Linked DNA regions of Xenopus tropicalis. The protein of the gene in region 2 interacts with the protein of the main gene of each other region in a biochemical or structural test. Links are inferred from orthologs where the notes say so. Each region holds a gene or a part of one and is shown on either strand. Other genes may lie near its edges.

Region 1 (3,658 bases), on a different chromosome or scaffold from region 2:
TCTATTGTCTAAAACGCTTAGGACCCAGGGTCTTCTATATAGAGATGTTCCATAATTCCGTCATTTTTCAAAAACCCAATACTACTGATTTTTTTCTTTTTGCAAACATGGAGTTACCAGCAATTGAAAGGGATTGTCTTAATATTACAGAGGAACAACCAATCCAACAAGAATAAAGATATGAAGATATGGATGATTTAAGCAATAGACTGCAAGGAATGGCACTGCTTGATTTCTGAGCAATCGGGATAAAAGGTTTCTATGATAACAGATCCCAAACTTGAACTTCAAACTGCATAATGCGAAAAAATAAGATATTCAGTTATATTAATTGAAATGGATATTATCTGTATGTCAATTACCACCATTCATTTCTAAGATTTTTTTTATAGACCTTGATCAGCTTAGTGACCAATAGCAGTATAATAATCCCTAATGCTTAATTGCCTAAGGGACTGTCTCTATGTTCAGAAGACAGTAGATACATTGTTCTATGCCATCATTGGCAAAGATGTATTATACAGGAATGAAATGTTTGGTCCCACTGTTATTCTGCCTGTAATCCTGAAACATTTCCTCAGAGATCAGAAATGTGGGATAGCCGTTAATTCTTTTATGTTTTTTACCAATTACATAGTCCATTAGATTACAATACTTTGAAAGTGGTCTTGTGCAATGGTGTTCTGGCCTTCCAGTTTGCCATTGACATGCAAAGATATACTGAATGTTCTTTTTCCATTTCCCATTAGCAAGAGTTAGTGTTAAGAAAGTCTCTCTATACTTTTGGCAGATTTGGACATTTCACTTTTCTTGCTTAGTTTTTACACTTATAGATTGTCCCCAGGCTGGTACTGTGGCTCTGTTGCAGTAAAGTAGTCTTCTAAAAATGACTGAATATATTCAAAGGTTGGTCTTTCATCAGGGTCCTTCTTCCAGCACAGCTTCATCAACTCGTGAAGAGATTCTGGGCAGCCCTGAGGGCAAGGCATTCTGTAGCCCCGCTCTACCTGCTCCAAAACTTCCCGGTTTACCATGCCTGAAAACATATTAAAAACAGTCAGTTCTAAAATACAGAAAAAAATTAATGATCACCAAGAGATGATTTTCTACCAAATCTGAAATATATCTAAATCATCTTAGCCCTATATATGGAACAATTCTCGAAACACTCCTTATACAATATTCCACCTTGATTCCCGCAATAGTTTGTCAGGCCCAAAACCCAATCTCCATCTCATTCTAACTTAAATGCCTTCCCCTTTGTCAGTTTTCTCATTCCAAAATACCTCCCCATCTTAACTCTCCACCCAAGCTTCTATTTTTTATAGCCCTTGTTTCTTAATATCTCCTTCAAAAGACTCATAGCAGGCTACTTCCATCTCATGGAGTTAAATAACATGCTCAGACTCTCAAAAAAATGAAAGCTTGTGCCACTCGTTCTCTAACCACTGTATATTGCGTAAAGCCCAAATGAACATGCATGGATACTTAATTTTGAATAAAATGCCTTAACTACTTATGTACAATAATCCCTTCATGGGAACACTGACCTTTGTGTTGAACGAGAGGAGAATTAAAATGTAAATATGTTTATTTCCTTCTGTCCATAATTGAGCTGGGTTTTCTGTTTTTTTCTGTCTGTCTTGCCTCGTACTATTACCATATTAATTTTATATTTCATGTTTTTCCCTATGGCACTAGCTCCTTTTTTCTGTTTTTACATTTTGCTGTTGCATTTTCTCACAGGGTTTGGCATATGTATGTATTTTTTTTTTTTTTTTTTTAAATATATTTTATTTTTCTAGTTGTTTTCATCATGCAGTGACCCACTCATGCTACATGCTGTAGGTTACTAGTACTTACTGTGACTGCTTATGATGTGCCTTAGCCATACTTAGAGCCTTACAGGCAACAAACGTTACCAACAGTCCTTTATCCCAAGATACTTTGGTAGCTTAGGCAGTCTCTGCTCAGCTAAATAAGGTGCTAAGAGTTCTGGAAATGTGAAACCCCAGGTTTCAACATCATGCTAAGAAGGTGGTACTTTGAAGCAAGCAATGAGCATCACCAACTCAACTGAGTCAAACAAGCCCAAATGAAACAAACCAAAGACATGCTTATGCCCTTTTCTTTAGTCTGTTCTGGTACTAGCCTTGTGGAAAGCAAAGTATACAAATGAATAAATGGTGGGTATACAAATGACATTTATAATAAAGAAACCCCCTTATACCAGGATAAGGAACTCTCCCTTTGGTGACCAACTCAGTTAGGAGGATTCCAAATGACCACACATCGGATTTAATGGTGAATCGACCATATAAAGCAGCCTCAGGTGCAGTCCATTTGATTGGAAATTTTGCTCCTAAAATACAGAAAACATATAATTTGGATTATTGTAAAGGCAATGTTTACAATTAATAAAAACTACAGCCAGTTGACATTTCACCACTATTAACTCTAACCTTGCCGGCAAACTATTCTTCACTGGAATGTTTTCATTAGGGACCACAAAAGGGAAGGACTTATGAAAGGGTTGGGTGTGGTCAAAATGGCCCATCTTTCAAATCAGAAATGTTAGGAGATATAGGATACTGCCAACCTCTCTACTTCATTCCCTTAGATCTCAAATCTTCTCAAAGCATCAGAACAGTGCATTGTATTAAGTTTTAAGTTTTCTTTTGACATATACACATACATACACAACATAACTGAAAGTTACCATAGCAGTCACACACTTTAAGAGGGAACGTGACAAATCATACCTTGCCTTGCAGTGTATTCATTGTCTTCTATTAATCTTGCCAAACCAAAGTCAGCAATTTTACATACAAGATTGTCTCCAACAAGAATATTAGCAGCCCTGAGGTCTCTGTGAATATAATTCATCCTTTCAATATAAGCCATGCCATCTGCAATCTAAAGCAAACACAAAATTGAACACCATTAGTATGCAACCAATGCCAAAGGTGTTGCAGCAGACCTAATGGACCAATGCAAATGGCTGGATTACCTGTGCAGCCATGTCAACGAGTTGTGGCAGTTTTAAATACTTTCCATCACCTTCTTTAAGAAAGTCCAGCAGACTACCTGTACAGACAGAATAAAAGTTTCATTCCCCACTTTGTTTGAATAACTCTAGAGATATTGTTATAGTCTTTGTGCCAAAGAGCAGACAGGTTGTCAGACACACATACCCTTTGTCATGTATTCAGTGACTATGTAGATTGGCTCTTCTGAAACAACAGCGTAAAGGGGGACCAATTTGTCATGCCTGAGTTTTTTCATGATTTGTGCTTCTTGCAAGAAAGCTTCAGGCATCATTGTCCCTGGTTTTAGTGTTTTGATTGCTACTTTTGTTGTTCCATTCCAAGTTCCTAAATAAAATAAAACTTTGCATAACTATTCTAAACAAACAAACACACACACAAACAAAATGCATAGCTCACTAAGCTTAGAAATATAAATGAATAAATAAATACTTCTGAAAGGATGGCCTTCCGTGTTATTATAATGGGTACTTAGTATGTATAGTATCTACAAAGAATGCAGTTTATAATTGAAAGGATACAGGCTATTACATATTATACACATTATATACCTAGCTTGTATGCATTTATGTTACTTGACATTATAAAAGTTAATTTAAGTACATTGGAAA
Region 2 (3,078 bases):
CTTTAGGAAACAATTGTAAAGCTTACATGAGAAGGTTGCCGCAACATACATTAAAGATTCCTGACCTGAACAAATCAACCAGTCACTCCAGTCTGATAACACTGTTGGGCTACATTCTACCACATGGCACCTTTGAACTAATTACATGTAAAGCCATTGAGGAAACTGTAGGGAAACTTTGCAATAAGTCTTTTTGCAGCAACTGGCTTAAAGATTGTTATGCAATGGTTGATCTTCAGTGGTCTGATGGCGTGTCGACCCTACACAGGGATGGCTCTGTTTTGTTGCTTTTTTGCAGCTTCGCTAAATGCCTTTATGTGCCGATGTGCTAAAATCAACCTGAAACAAACCTTCCAAGCAGATGGTTTGGGCAGAGTAGTCAAAATTGGGTTACGCTACTTGAGCATGTATAGCCAACTTAGGTCATCTTACATAGCTTCCTACCAGTCCACATAGGGACTGCAAATGGCCAATCACAGTCCATATTTGGTACCCCAGGTTCTTTTTGAATACTTGTGTTGATCTATAACAAGTTTTTAGATTGGAATTGTGGCTCAAGGATAAAAAAAATCTGGGGACCGTCGCTTTAGCTGTAACTTGTCTTTGTTGCTTTTAAGATTCTTCACTCACCCCATATGTGATTTAAAAAGCAAATTATTATGATTGCGAGTTAATAAATAACTTATATGTAAGTGAAGTGTGTAACTTGGGAAGTGTAAAGAAGCCTTTTGTAATCATCATTTTTACCCAATTTTGTAGTTTAACTTTGTTGGAAAGATCCTTGGACCACAGGGAAACACCATCAAAAGGTTACAGGAGGAGACTGGAGCAAAAATCTCTGTTCTTGGCAAGGGATCAATGAGAGATAAGGCAAAGGTAAGGGCTAAATTATTTATTTTTCCTGTTAAAGTGGACCTGTACTTTTCAAATTAAACATGAAACCCAAATTCATTTCTATATTAACACATTCAAACCCATTATAAAGGCATTAAAAAAGCTATCAATCAAATATTTCCTGCCCCGCCTTTATGCCTTAAGCATAGAGGCGGGGCAGACAAGTACTTAAACTTTCAATTCAGCTCTCACTTTTCCCCTCCCTCCTAACCATCTAATTGTGTAGCTAGTGCATGGGCATCTGGTCCCTCATTCTGGCACATACACAAAATTTTGGGGTGATACAAAGCAATTTGCAGTTGGTTTTCATTTTATATATATATAATTTTTTTTTTTTTAGTTCACGTTCAGCTGCTCTCCTGTTTTGTTTTTTTTATTTTTTTCAGTAAATTTTCAGTGGCTTTTATCAGCTATTTGTTTGCTGGGGTCCAAATTATCTTGGCAGCCAGGGAGTAATTTGAATGAGGGACTAATATATGGATAGGAAAGAGCATGAATAGAAAAGTTGTAAAAAGTAACAATAAAATTGTAGCCTCACAGACCAATAGTGTAATGTGTAAAAGGAAAACCCATAGTAATAATCATGTCATTGATTTCAGGAAGAAGAGCTGCGGAAAGGAGGGGACCCCAAATACAGCCATCTGAATATGGACCTTCATGTGTTCATAGAGGTCTTTGGACCACCATGTGAATCTTATACACGTATGGCACATGCAATGGAAGAAGTCAAGAAGTTCTTGGTTCCGGTATGTGTAATCAATTTTTTTTTGTAATGTAATTTGCTGTAAAAATATCCTAATCAAGTATTAGTTAAGTAAGTACTGAATAAAGTCAAAGGATTTTTTCTATAACTTTACTGTAAACTTTTAGGAATTGGCCAAAAGCAAAATGTGTGTAGTTTTTTTGCTGCTGTTTAAACAAGCACTGAAATTATTATAGATTTAGGAGAAAAGTCCACACTTTTTTGACTTCTGAAAAGTTTGTCTTCCGCTGGACCTTTTAAATTAGCTTATTGTAACCATATAGTGATAGTAAAGTTGTTGGCTCATTTTTCATTTTTATGTTATAAATGTAAAGAAGTAAACTGATGTCAATGGATGTGTGGTTAGGTGTTGATGGCTGTAATTAGAATATTGCATAGCAGGTAGAACACTAACTAACTTTTTTTTTTTTTGTTAATCTTCAAAACTACTCAGCAGCAAAGTCCTGAGTAAACAGTTTTCTTATTCTTTTAGCTGACACCTGAGTCTTTTTCATACCAGGACATGATGGATGATATCTGTCAGGAACAGTTTATGGAGCTATCTTATCTTAATGGAGCACCACCAGAGCAAAGCAGAGGTGGAACAAGAGGTGGACCATCCAGGGGCAGAGGGGGTCCACCACCTGCTGCAGCTCCTTCTTCTAGGTAATCTCTAAGGCAGCTAGCTGCTATGTTACTCCTTGCAGGAATCAAACTGTCAAACAAAACTAAAAATTGTTTAACCTGGGTCAGCCTCCAACCGAACTCTCACCTTTCCTTTTAGCATTCTTCAGTACTGTATAACCCTAGCTTTTCAAGCATTGCCAGTTGTGATATTCTGACTTACATTTGCTAAGGGTTACAGCAGAAGCTTTGCAAGTTTGTTACTTTTTGGTGTCACTCCCCCCTGTCAGCCCTTTTTCCCCCTTTAAGGTAAACTTTTGTATGCAAGATGTTCAGGGTTTTGGATGAGACTATGTACAAATTTATATTAACAGAGGCAGGGCTGGGCCTCTTCGCCCTCTTGTTCCAAGAGGTGCCCCCGGACGTGGAGCCATATCGCGTGGTGCTAGTGTGAGCCGCCCTGTACCCCCTTCCTCTGCTAGCCGAGGTGCACCCGCTGGAAGAGCCCGTGGTGCTGCTATCCAGAGAATCTCTCTTCCACCTCCTGCACCTGAAACATATGATGAATATGTAAGTGTCCTACAACATTTTTATTATTTAGTTTTGAGGACCTAGTCTATGTATGGGTTTGCAGACTGCTGTTGTCATTGAATACTGGAATGTTAAACAATACTCCTAATAACTTTACAAATGTTAACCTCCTAGGTCACTGCTGTCCTACTTCTGTGGTACCAAAGGCTGGAATTTTTCTGGGCTAAATTGTAGAGGACTGATAATGGAAGCCAGTTTTGACCACTCTCCTTTTTTTTAAACCGCAC

The links. The genes of interacting proteins can lie anywhere in the genome.
Region 1: of the proteins of khdrbs1 (region 2) and yes1, one has a biochemical effect on the other in vitro, tested with the Homo sapiens proteins (2 studies listed by BioGRID, with this or other methods). The link is inferred for Xenopus tropicalis from reciprocal best matches to the Homo sapiens genes KHDRBS1 and YES1.

Annotation. Positions count from the first base shown.
Region 1 is NC_030682.2:108,007,901-108,011,558, reverse strand, and holds part of yes1 (tyrosine-protein kinase Yes), read right to left. Parts: intron 3,375-3,658; coding exon 3,195-3,374; intron 3,088-3,194; coding exon 3,011-3,087; intron 2,917-3,010; coding exon 2,763-2,916; intron 2,363-2,762; coding exon 2,231-2,362; intron 1,037-2,230; coding exon 828-1,036; 3' UTR 1-827. UniProt on the Homo sapiens protein: Non-receptor protein tyrosine kinase that is involved in the regulation of cell growth and survival, apoptosis, cell-cell adhesion, cytoskeleton remodeling, and differentiation.
Region 2 is NC_030678.2:86,525,389-86,528,466, forward strand, and holds part of khdrbs1 (KH domain-containing, RNA-binding, signal transduction-associated protein 1), read left to right. Parts: intron 1-759; coding exon 760-876; intron 877-1,493; coding exon 1,494-1,640; intron 1,641-2,129; coding exon 2,130-2,302; intron 2,303-2,634; coding exon 2,635-2,830; intron 2,831-3,078. UniProt on the Homo sapiens protein: Recruited and tyrosine phosphorylated by several receptor systems, for example the T-cell, leptin and insulin receptors. Once phosphorylated, functions as an adapter protein in signal transduction cascades by binding to SH2 and SH3 domain-containing proteins.